Mus musculus: one gene and its partner. Each later gene encodes a partner of the first gene's protein in a complex. Each region holds a gene or a part of one and is shown on either strand. Other genes may lie near its edges. The genes, in order: Itgb1 and Fermt2. A codon is read from its position in the direction of its gene.

Region 1 (6,717 bases):
TTCAGCCTAGGAAATAGACATTGTTATAGTTTGAATGTGAAATGTCCCACTTAGGTTCCTGCATGCCGACTTTTGTTCTTGGCTTGTAGTGCTGTTTTGGGAGTCTGTGGAGCCTTCAGTTGCTGAGGCTTGACTGGCAGAGTGTGTGTCTCTGGGGGTGGGCTTTAGTTTCCTGAGTTGCCAAGACATAGAGTGCTGTTCCCTCTTGGTCCTGCTCTAACTTCTGTGACCTTCTTGAAACTGAGCCAAAAATAAATCTTCTTTCTCCTAAGTTGCAATGTCAGGAAAAGTACTTAGTACAGACTTCTTGTACATATACTGTAGTGGAATACTACTATCATTCTTTGACCTGCAGGATCCTGATCAGGACATTGATTATGTATTTGCCTAAGTCACATTTTATTTTAATCATCATTACTTAAAAACATTTTTTAGGTTTACTTATTTTTTATATGCACATTTTGCCTGTATGAATACATGCATATGTGCACCGTGTATGTACCTGGTGCCTGCAGAGGTCAGAAGTTATCAGATCCCTTGGAACTGAAGTATGGTTATGAGCTGACATATGTTAGGAGTTGAACCTGGGTCCTCGTAAAAGCAGCAAGTGCTCTTAACTTCTAAGTCATCTCTAGCCCCTCGTCGTTACTCCTACTGTGGGGAGCTTGTAAGAGGCTCTCTTCTTAAACTTAGGAGTCCATGTCACTGCTGGTTTTTCTCAGTTCCTTCCATTGCTTCCAATTTCCTTTTTGTGTTTTCTTCCTTTCATCCTTCTGCAAATTTAGGTAAGACTTGGTTTTCCTCTCATCATCATTGGAAATCATCATTCAGCAATGACATAAGCTTTTCCGTTTAGCTCTGTACCTGTTCTCCAGCTGCCTGCCAGGAAGTCAGGGAAAAAAGATCGTTTTTCATCTAAGCAGACCTTCCATTTTCTCCCATGTTTGTGTTTTATTTTGTGGTACTGGAGATAGAATTTAGGATCTCTCATGTGCTGGGCAAATGCTCTACCACTAAGCTGCCTTCCAGCTCTGTGCTTTTTAAGTAAGTAACATGTAACAACTTTTACCTCTCTCGCCTTCCTCATTTTTCAGTTTAGGCTTCATCTTTTTTTCTTGATCTTTTTGTAATTATGGCTTCACCTCTGTAACTTCCTTTTACAACTCTAAAGTAAAACTAGATCGTTACTCACCTTTGTGTAGCAGTGCCTTTACACAGAGAACATTTCACTCTTAACTTTAATCTCTACCTGTCTAGAATGTACCTTTCATTCTGCCAAAACTCATGGTGTTCTGATTTTCTCATAAGTTTTTGTGTAAATCACCTTGTGGTTACAGTAACAACTACTTGAAATACATGTAAAAAGAAAAGCTTATTTTGGGCCATAGTTTTAGAAGTTTTCATCTGACGGAGTGGCCTGTTGCTCTGAGCTTGTGGTGATGTGAGATGTCATGGTGGGGCATCTGGGAGATAAGACAGAAAGGAGGTCCCATAGACTCCAGGGCACATCACTGGTAACCCAAACCTCCTGCTAGTCCTTACCTCTCAAACTTCCCACTGCCTCCTGAAAGTACCAACACATGGGCAGATCCAAACTGTAGCAGAATTATTTGTATTTTGTGGGTTGCTGGAGAGGGCATTGCCTTCATCATTTTTGCCTCCTTAGGTCTTGGAGTTGTAAATGGTTGGTTAAACGAAATCAAGTGTGCCTGTTGAGGCGCTAACAAAATTCTTAGATTTGGAAAAAATATACACTTAAGACTATATCATTGAACATGTAAATTGGACTTACTTTTTTTCTCATTTTATTTTGATTACTGGCCATCTAATTTCAGTTTTGAATCTTGTTAATTAGGAGAACCACAGAAGTTTACATTAAAATTCAAGAGGGCTGAAGATTACCCTATTGATCTCTACTACCTTATGGATCTCTCCTACTCTATGAAAGATGATCTGGAGAATGTGAAAAGTCTTGGAACGGATTTGATGAATGAAATGAGGAGGATTACTTCAGACTTCCGCATTGGTAGGAATGTTGGGAACATTTTGTGTGTGTGTGTGTTGAGGGGTGGTTCTGCATGTGTGCAGAGCAGGCTATTGAGTGTCTTATGTTATCACTTTGTGTCTCATTTCTGTGAGACACAGTTTATCACTTACCTAGGTTTGTGGCCTATAATTTCCTGTCTTTTCCTGCAGCAGTGCTGGGGTGCAAGGTGTGTATGTGCACGCCTGGCCTTTTACCTGGCTGCTAGGATCTGAACTTATCCTCACGCTAATGCAGCAGGAGCTCTTCCCACAGTGCAGTCCCTGCAGCCTCCATACTGGGCTTTAGAAAAAGATGTGCATTTAGAGTTGGTGAGAGATGGCTCAGGGGATAAGGGTCCTGCCTTTAAGTGTGATGACTGAGCTCAGTCTCCAAAATCAGTTCCTGCTTGTCCTTTGACCTCCAGACATGCATTGTGGTATATGTGTGCACATCCTTCACCCAAATAAATAAGTAAATATCAATTTAAAAGTGATGTAAGTTTGTTGGTCTCTTCCCACTCATCTATCCAAGTACATTCTTTTCTTTAGGCTTTGGCTCATTTGTGGAGAAAACTGTGATGCCGTATATTAGCACAACCCCAGCAAAGCTAAGAAATCCTTGTACAAGTGAACAAAACTGCACCAGCCCATTTAGCTACAAAAATGTGCTTAGTCTTACTGACAGAGGAGAGTTTTTCAATGAACTTGTTGGTCAGCAACGCATATCTGGAAACTTGGATTCTCCAGAAGGTGGCTTTGATGCAATCATGCAGGTTGCGGTTTGTGGAGTAAGTGATTTATTTCTACAGGGGACTGTTAGCATTGTCTGTGGGGATTTATTTTAAGTGTTTTTAATAAAAGTTAGAACAAAAGGACCATAGCTACTATAAGATTACCCCGAGGAGCACTGATGTCAGTTCTTACGTTCCCACTGCTGCTTTCTCGGGTGTCTGTAATCATTGCATCTCTGTCTGAGCCAGAAAGGGAGTTCACACCTAAGGAGTGTGAAAGGCCAGCATGCTGTTTATTTGAAACAGTGGAACACAGATAGACTTCAGCCGGTTTAGGATTTTGGAAGAGGCTGAGGTTTTCAAACTTTGTGGCTCTGTACTAGAGATGTAACTGATGTTATCTGAGGTGTCTCTAGGAGCTCTGAACATGCCATGTGGAATTGTGTCTCATACCATGTTCCTCGGGTCAGTTTTCTATTTTAATAATAAAAGGAAAGAACTTTCAAAGCCCTGATTGATGAGCTATATGACAACTTTTTGTAATAAAAGTAGTAATAGAATATTTTTGGTTAAATTGTATTGTTTCTAAGGATAGTAAGCCTTGTTCTGTTGCACTAGGGACCAGTGTTTATGATCCATGGGTATTTCTGATTGATTTTTTTTTTTCCTGTTTTGAGAAATGGTCTTGCTGTGTGGCCCAGCCTATCCTTGAACTTGTAGAGATGTTTTTGCCTTTACCTGAGTACTGGCATTCCAGGTGTGCTCCACCATACCAGACCCTCAATGATCTTTTAATGAGAACTGAGGCTGAGAGTAGAAAACATTGTTAGGTCAATAAGGTTAGTCTGGAGAAAGTATAAAGCGTTGTTTTTGTGGAGGGAGGATTTTCCTGTCCTTTCTTGCTCCTAGGCAGGTGACTTTGTATCTTTAGAGCTGCGCCTTTTAGAAAAATTAACAACAGACAGCCCACAGGACAGTGGTAAGGACCGTTGCAGTGATCTGTATGAAGTACACATAGACACTCAATATATACTCACCACTGTTCTTATTTTTGACTTGCTACTGTAGTGCTCATAATTTAAAAAATAGTACTTCAGTATAATTGGCCTTAGCCTTCCTTATTCTCTGAAAAGCACTCTCCCCACTCCCTACTTCTACCCCAGTCACTGTGTGGAGAACATTTTCTAGGCTGCCTCTGCTTTAACCAGCAGGCAAACTGACCCTATAGTCCCGACCACCCATTTTCGGCTATGCTGCCTTTCTGAATTTGTCATACTTTAGAGCAAAGGAGCAAGTAACCTGTCTTTGAAAGATGATTAGAATCAAGAAAGTTAATTTCTATCTTCAATGAATTTACAAACATGTGTTGTTACTTTAAATTTAGAAAATAAATGTAATTAATTACATAATAGAAGAGGGTTTTCACATTGCTTAAATTCTTTGTTGAGTAAGCTAGTGAAATTACAAATGAACTGATTTCATGAGCTAGAATGTAGGGATTTAAAGTACAGAAAGATCTTTGATGATTTTTCTTACAGTAAGAAAATGAAACTAGTAGGTATGGTGGTGCATGTCTAAAATCTCAGTATTTAGGAGTTAGGAGCAGGGAAATTAAAAGTTCAAGCCTATCCTTAACTAAACAGTAAGTTTGAGGCTAGCATGAATTGCATAAAAGGCTGCTTCAAAAAAGTAAAGCCTAGTGTAGAAGAGAGCTGATAAGGTTTAATAGGGGTATACAGAAGTGTGGGTAGGAACAGGAGTCAGGATTGAGTCTCTATGTATTCAACATAGACTCAGTACCCCTGCTGAAAAGCAGACTCTGAATTGAGGCCAGTATGAAGAAGCTATAAAGTTCTGGAGGACCATCTCTGCACTGACAGCAACATTAGCCTTGGGACAAGAAAGACAATGATACAGAATTAGGTTAAAAGTGCAGTTGCAGCTTGACAACCTGAAAGCATTTATGTTGAGTTATTATGGGCAGTGTCTGCAGTTGACTTCTTTCTTTTAAAGTCGCTGATTGGCTGGAGGAATGTAACACGACTGCTGGTGTTTTCCACGGATGCTGGGTTTCACTTTGCTGGAGATGGGAAACTTGGTGGTATTGTTTTACCCAATGATGGACAATGTCACCTGGAAAATAATGTATATACAATGAGCCATTACTATGTAAGTACTTAGGCCTGCCTAGTGAGTGAGTTTTGGTGATTTTAGTGTAATCCTGAGCATGTGGGAGGGCAGGGTTTGCAGCTTTCTTGTTTTGGTTAGTGTGGGCCCTGATGATGGCTGGGAAAGCTGCATTGCTGCTTGTAAAGCTCTTGGCAATGTGCTATTCTGTCTGGGTGGTGGGAATGCTGAGATCCATCTGGTTCCTCACTTGAATACATCATTTGTCAGTCTTGCTGGTCATATTTCTAAATGTGCAATTTTTAACTAGGCTTACCCTCTATATCTTATGACTTAAAAATACACACTCTGGCTTTCATTGAAAGCAAATATAGGCAAATCACTCAGGTTCTAGAAGAAATCTAGTATTGGTGAATCTTAGTCTTAAGTGCTAGATAATGGGAACCTTTAGTTCTGGTTCCTTAATTTCACAGTCCTCACATTTAAAGTACATAGATTGTCTTGCTTTTGAAACCTCTTAAAATGGGACTGGAGAGATGTTCAGTAGTTAAGAGCACTTGGCAACTCTTCCAGAGGACCTGGGTTCAATTCCCAGCAGCCACATGGATGTTCACACCTTTCTGTAACTATCTAGTTCCAGGGTTTCAGATACTCTCACACAGATATACATGCAGACAAAATACCAATGAATATAAAAATAAATTATTAAAAAATGCCTTAAAAAATAGAAGTTCTTAAACATAGAAAAGAGAGACACGTGACCCAGCTTAGCACTTATTTGCATTTGATATTCTTTCTTGAAAGCAGTCTGTGTGAGTGCTCTGATTATGAATGCTTATTGACTCAAATACTGTACTCTTAGCAATTGAGAGTAAACCTGGACTATAGAGTGAGACCCAAACAAAATAAACAAAGCCTCATCATTGATTGCAATGTATTTATATACTAAATTGTATTACTTTATTCCTTAGGATTATCCTTCAATTGCTCACCTTGTTCAGAAACTAAGTGAAAATAATATTCAGACGATTTTTGCAGTTACTGAAGAGTTCCAACCTGTTTACAAGGTAATACAAAGAATGAAAGTTCTATATTTTTCCTATTGTTTAGTCATTAGTAGCTGAATTATATTTTTGGAATGTAAGAAAATGCCACAAGGCATTATGTTCAGTAGCTAGACTGAATTTGACAACCGTCATTTATGTTCATTTTAGTTGTGTATTATTAGGATTGTTATTTTAAGTTTGCCTTTGAAAGATACTTAGGAAATGAGGTGTCAAAATACTACTTTTCAGTGGATTTTAATTGGTTGAAAAAGTAATATTTATGTTTTACATATTTAATTTCAGGAATTGAAGAATTTGATTCCTAAGTCAGCAGTGGGCACACTGTCTGGAAACTCTAGTAATGTGATCCAGCTAATCATCGATGCCTACAACGTGAGTGCTTTAAATGCTGTCAGCTTCATGTCATGCCTTAAATAAAACACCCTTTATACACCTCAGCAAGCTGAAGAAACTATGCAAAACGTGAATTTAAATTCCATGGCTGGAGGAAAACTTGATATCATTATAATCTTTGAAAGCACAGTGTAAGCAGAGCAGTGGTATTTAGATAAAGGCATGTGCATAATTTCCAAACTTGTTTATGTGTCATTAGGCCACATATCTCCTCGTTGGAACACAACTGACATTTTGATGTATACAGGTTTTATTTTATCTTCTTTTTCTTCCCTAAAGCCACTTTTATCGATCCATCTTTTTAAGTTTTATTTATTTTTTCTTTTGGAGATTTTTTTTTTTTATGTTGCCCTGACAGTCTTGGAATTCACTAT
Region 2 (6,104 bases), on another chromosome or scaffold:
ACAGGCAGCCCTCAGCTCTCTCTGAGGAGAGTGCGTGTGTCCTGTCATCTGACTAAATCGGAAAAGGCTACATAGGCTTTTGACTAGTAACTGTTATTTCGCTACTAAAATACTTAGCTTTACCCTCACTGTAAGACACGTGAGGGAGAAGGAGGGGTTTGCCCTTTGCATTGTCTTCTGTGAGCTTCTGTCTTTAATCTGAGTGACACTTGCTGCAGTGTGGCGCCTCTGCTGTAGCCACATAGACAGCGATGGCCGCTTGCTGTCCCCATTCTCATCCTTCCTTGCGTTTCATTTTCACCTGAGTGCCCTTTCTTTCTGCATGGTTTTCTGCTGGAATTTGGGGTTGCAGGTACCATAGCCTTTTCTTTGCTTCATTGCCATTTCCTGATCGCCTCTTTTTTTTTCCCCCCTTTCTGCTTCCTTTTTCTTTCCTCGCATTGCCATCTACAGCCAGGCTGTGTAAGAGATTTGGTAAGTTCTCTATATGTACAGAGGGAAGGAAAGTAGACACTGAGCAGCCGTAGTCCTAGCCATCTGTCCCCCACCATGGGGGATTCACCCTAAAGCAAGTACTGGTAAATGCAACCAGAGCGGTCCTGTTTGGTTGCCATGGAAACGTGATGCTCTGCCTCCTGGTGTTCTGGTTTGCACTGCAGAACTCCAGCCGGCACCTCTGTAGCCATCTGGATGTGTTACTGTGCCATTCATTGCCCACCAGGATCTCTCGGTCCTGGCAGCTCTACACTAGAATCCCAATAATGCCTTGTGTGTGGTACATAAAAACTGAAATTAACATTGGTGCTTTGTTGGGATTCCCAAATGAAGCATTAGATAATTTTTAATTCCAATTCAGCATAATGCTATGGTTGCACATCATTTTTTAATTTTTTTAATAAAAGATAATAATGTCTGGTTATTTAATGAAACATTTAAAATTCTGTTTAGATAACAGCACGGATCTTGGAGGCCCATCAAAATGTAGCCCAGATGAGCCTGATTGAAGCCAAGATGAGATTCATTCAAGCCTGGCAGTCTCTGCCTGAGTTCGGCATCACACACTTCATTGCGAGGTCAGTGCGCTGCTGTGGTCTGTGTGTTCAGTTTGTCCGCCTCGTTGGCTTAGATCTTCACCATTGAAGGCAGGGCTGCTTAGACTACACTAACCTCTTCTACACCAAAACTTAATGCTATTATTATGTCTTATAATAGTTGCATTGTTTTTAGGGTTAGAGAAAATCCCTTCCCCCGTTCTGAGTGGTGTTTCTTCAATATTACAGGTTTCAAGGCGGCAAGAGAGAAGAACTTATTGGAATTGCATACAACAGGTTGATTCGGATGGACGCCAGCACAGGTGACGCCATCAAAACCTGGCGGTTCAGCAACATGAAGCAGTGGAATGTCAACTGGGAGATCAAGATGGTGAGCTAGCACGAACGCCCCTCAGGTGTCACTCAGTGCAGATAGCCTGAGGGCGTAGTTCAGGGTCTGGGTTTGATCCCCAGGACTAAGACAAAAGGTAGATTTTGAAGATTGGATTTTGTGACATGATTTGGTTGTGGTATTTGGCACCCCATTAACTGCTAAGGCTGCTTAGGTTATCAGGCTAGTGAAGTTTAGTGTCTGCTCTCTCCTCTCATACTGGGTGGAGCAGACGGCATTTCCTGATGAAGAAAGACAGCCTTCCTTCTGCCAAGGCTGTCCGAGTAGCTCTGTTCCCATGCTAGAATCTTCAAGTAAGCTTTTAAAGGCCACCATTGGATAGCCAAGCTGTAAGACCCTATCCCCATCCCAGTGAGACCCTGCATAGGGTAGTCTATTTACAGATAATCAGAGTAGAGATGGCTCCAAAGCTGAGAGCTGTTGTTACTCCTCCAGAGAACTAAGGTTCATGTTAGCACCCACAGGCATGGAGGTTCACAACCTCCTGCAACTCTTATTTCCTGGGAATCTGATACTCTCATCTGGCCTTGCAGACATACATGCAGACACAACACATGTACTCGTAAAATACATACATACATATGTATGTATATATATATGTGTGTGTATGTGTGTGTGTGTATGTATACATATATATACAGAGAGAGAGAGAGAGAGAGAGAGAGAGAGAGAGAGAGAGAGAGAGAGAGAGAATAGCCTGGGCTACAAAATACAGAAGACTCTCTAAAAATATGGATAGTAAAAAATAATCTTTAAAGTGCAGACCATGTGGTTGGTTACTCATTTCTCACTTGAACTTACCATCCATACTTAAGGATATCTTTCTGTAACAGCTTCTCGAAACAGCAGTCAGAGGTTATGTCCTGTGCCTCCTCTATGGGGTCAGACATGACACTAGACGTTTGCACTTACACTGGCCTCTATGCCTCACCTCAGCCTTCTAAAGCAGGCAGGTTGCCTGGACTTCACAAATGAGGACGCTCCCACTTAGAAGCCTAAGGGCTGCTTAGTGTCCACGCCCACACACTTGATGACTGCCGCAGCAGGGTCTGTAAAACCTGGTGCGCATCCCACTATGTAGCTTGGTGCCCTTTTCTTTGTTACATTGTGATCATATAAAACCGGCTCACTGGCAGGCGATTTTGCTTGGCATATATTGGATACACTGTATTCAGCTGCTATCAGAAATACACATCGGGGGCTGGTGAGATGGCTCAGTGGGTAAGAGTACCCGACTGCTCTTCCAAAGGTCCGGAGTTCAAATCCCAGCAACCACATGGTGGCTCACAACCATCCGTAACGAAATCTGACGCCCTCTTCTGGTGTGTCTGAAGACAGCTACAGTGTACTTACATATAATAAATAAATAAATCTTTAAAAAAAAAAAGAAATACACATCGTTCTGAAATATTTAAGCTTGATACCTAAAGACTACATATTGAAGCGAATGTTAAATAAGACTCAAGAAGTAAGTTTTCTCCCAGGACCTAAAGAGGGCCATTCTCATTAATTGCATCACTAGAGACCACTCGGGACCTTAACGACGTAAACGCCTTGAGAACTTGCAAACGAAAGGGATGTGGGGATGATACACTTTTCTTACTGTTTAGACCTATGACATCACTGACATGATGGCTGTTCCCACGTCCCTGCGGGGTGGAGTACCATAACTTAAAGTCCGGAAGCTTCCGGGGAACTGACAGTTCTTTGTCTTTGCTCCAGGTCACTGTAGAGTTTGCAGATGAGGTCCGGTTGTCCTTCATCTGTACCGAAGTAGACTGCAAGGTGGTCCACGAATTCATTGGTGGTTACATATTTCTCTCAACTCGTGCGAAAGACCAAAATGAAAGTTTAGATGAGGAGATGTTCTACAAACTCACCAGTGGTTGGGTGTGAATAGGAAAACTTGTAATAAAACTCCACAGCCATAACAATATTTAACTTTAAAGCTATTGTTTCTTATATGCTGCTTAATAAAGTAAGCTTGAACTTTATTATTTTATCATGATACCTTTTTGCCTTACCAGACCAGTACATATGTGCACTAACAAGCACGATTGTTAATCTGCTGCCTACCTTGATATGCCGTATGTGGACTGTGGAATTCCCAACAGTCCTTAGGGCCACGGAAAGCTGTCACTGACTGACAGTAACCAAACTAAGAAACAAGCCATCTACCAAGCCACCCAGGGCATACATATAACCTATATGAAGTCTATTTATCATGTGTAATGCATGTGTTTGTGTTTAATTGATGCCTTCTTTTAAAGTACCCTGCTCCTGGTACCCAGTTAATCCCCTCTCCCAGTATAAAGTCGGTCTACAGTGGATGCTTGGTATTTGTTGATGCTGTTGACCTTGAAGGAAACACTGCTAACCTGTTGTTATTGGGTGGGTTTTGTCTTTGAGTAAGCATGCTGTACATTGTTTTGTGTTTAGTTTTACACCAAACTGTATTACAGTACTCTTAGTATTCACCAGCATACTCACTATCTGCCTAAGATATGCAGCCTTTGTGTTACAATATGAAGTAAAGATCTATGAAGTATTCATTTTGTGTAACTAATGTACAAACACAAATTTTATAAAATTGTACAGTTTTTTTTAAAAAAAACTATTCACAACTAGGAAATGGCTTAAATGTAGCATCCTTACATTAATTAAGTGCTTTTAAAATATATAATTAATTTGCAGTTTCAGTATCTGCTAAATTACGAATGACTTCATGATGCTCGTGACTTGCCGTGATGCCCTTAACTACAGCCTGGACCGGCTGTGTTCTAGTCTGTTGCGCTATTACATCTGCGTTGGTGCTAGTTAGACAATTCCTAGCTCACGAGCCCAGAAGGGCGCCAGGGAGGGGTGGACTTACCAGTATTGTCCAATAATCCATGAATTAAAGACTGTATAAATGCATTTTATTTTAAATAAAAGTAAAACCTTTTATTTAATGTTTTCTTTTGTACTTCTGATCTCTCTCAACTCTCCCAACACTGTGTGTTATTAGAACAGCCCGCCAGTGCTAGGCCATGTCCCAGATGAAGAGCTCTCTCTCTCTAGGAGACATCCTTTCTCCGGCATTGAGAGACCTTTGTGGTTATTCAGTTAGACTCCAGACTTTCATCATGGGCCTGGCTGCCACCTCTGTCAGTCCCGTGCCTGTGAGGCCAAGACAGCTTCTAAAAACCCAGCTCTGCTCACCTCTTCTGTCTCCCACCACCACTGCTTGCCCTGCCTGCTGAGCCCTGGTGTAGCACTGCCCTGGTTACCTAAAGCTCTGATGACTGTGCCCTGTGCTACAGAAGCTCAGGCTCCAGGTCCTCTGAGCTGGGGCATCTCCCTGGGGCCCATTTGTCCTTAAGCAGTCTGGACAGCCACATTCTCTAGGCCAGTGGTTCTCAACCTTCCTAATGCTGCAATACAGTTCCTCATGTTATCCCCAACCATAAAATTATTTTCTTTGCTGCTTCATAACTGTAGTGTTCTACTGCTATGAATAATAATATAAACATCTGTATTTTCCCGTAGTCTTAGGCATCCCCTGTGAGAGGGGGGTCAGGACCCACAGGTTGAGAACTGCTGGTCTAGCCATTCATCCCATTGCCATATTATTTACTAGCCCTATACCCTGTCCTCTGTCCAAATCTATGTCTCCCTTTAGAAATTTTAGTTTATAGCTGTTCTTCCATAAATACTTCTAAGTTTCCTTGCAGCCAAGCAGACTCTGCCTTCTCTGAACAGATGGCTGCATTTAATGGGAACCAAGGCAAAGCTAGACTGTGACCTGGCTTCGCACCTCTGTCCAGTCATATGGGAAGCAAGCCTTGGTAACCCTCACACCTGTCGCCAGCAGCCTCTATCAAGAAAGCGTTTTGCAAGAACACTGTCTAGGACTCCCAGAACCTGCATTCGAGTTTCTGTTCCCTGTGATTGTTCACAAGGGCATGGGAACAGGATATTAACCAAACTCCATCCAAATGTTGTTCTTCTCAGGCAGCAGGCTAGTGGCCTGTTAGAAGCTTCTGGTGTAGTATTGCCAACTCCACATAAACTAGTTTTCTTTGTAACCTTGAGAGATATTTTCCATTCTTTTGGTTTTTGGTTTTTTTGGTTTTGGTTTTTTCGAGACATGGTTTCTCTGTGTAGCCCTGGCTGTCCTGGAACCCACTTTGTAGACCAGGCTGGCCTCGAACTCAGAAATCCGCCTGCCTCTGCCTCTGCCTCCCAAGTGCTGGGATTAAAGGCGTTCGCCACCACGCCCGGTACAACATTTTCCATTCTTATCTCTCCAATGTCATACATTCAAGCGGCAAAGACAGGGCAGACTGTTCTGTTCTGTGTTGTCTAGTTGCGATTTGTGCCTTATTAAAAGGTTTTGAAATCAGTAGTGATAAAGAAGAATGAGGCCAGCCTGGGTTCTTGGCCCTTAGCTGAAAGACACCAATGCTCTGTATTTTAAAGTCAACACTAGCAGTAGTGAACACAGTAGCAAACCAGTTTTTTCAGCGTCTCTGTACTATATCTGTATCCAAGTCACTTGACACATGGGACCATCCCTAGCCTGACAGCCTTCCAGATCTGCGCCTTTGCTTTATGCCAGCGTGTATCGGAACTGCCTGTCCGGAACCGGCTCAGATCCTTGCCATGCCCTGTGGCCACTG

What was found.
Region 2: the proteins of Itgb1 (region 1) and Fermt2 are in contact, whole or in part, in a crystal structure (PDB 8TEE), measured with the Mus musculus proteins. Residues at the interface, in NP_034708.1 of Mus musculus: Ala786, Val787, Thr788, Thr789, Val790, Val791, Asn792, Pro793, Tyr795, Glu796, Gly797; in NP_666166.2 of Mus musculus: Phe609, Ser610, Asn611, Met612, Lys613, Gln614, Trp615, Asn616, Val617, Asn618, Trp619, Glu620, Ala629 (codon at 3,181), Asp630 (codon at 3,184), His647 (codon at 3,235), Ile654 (codon at 3,256), Ser657 (codon at 3,265), Thr658 (codon at 3,268), Lys674 (codon at 3,316), Leu675 (codon at 3,319), Ser677 (codon at 3,325), Gly678 (codon at 3,328).

What each region holds. Positions count from the first base shown.
Region 1 is NC_000074.6:128,711,353-128,718,069, forward strand, and holds part of Itgb1 (integrin beta-1 precursor), read left to right. Parts: intron 1-1,855; coding exon 1,856-2,026; intron 2,027-2,574; coding exon 2,575-2,813; intron 2,814-4,769; coding exon 4,770-4,925; intron 4,926-5,854; coding exon 5,855-5,950; intron 5,951-6,232; coding exon 6,233-6,322; intron 6,323-6,717.
Region 2 is NC_000080.6:45,457,085-45,463,188, reverse strand, and holds the end of Fermt2 (fermitin family homolog 2), read left to right. Parts: intron 1-453; coding exon of another isoform or gene 454-474; intron 475-948; coding exon 949-1,073; intron 1,074-1,280; coding exon 1,281-1,422; intron 1,423-3,165; coding exon 3,166-3,339; 3' UTR 3,340-4,397; downstream 4,398-6,104. UniProt on the Homo sapiens protein: Scaffolding protein that enhances integrin activation mediated by TLN1 and/or TLN2, but activates integrins only weakly by itself. Binds to membranes enriched in phosphoinositides.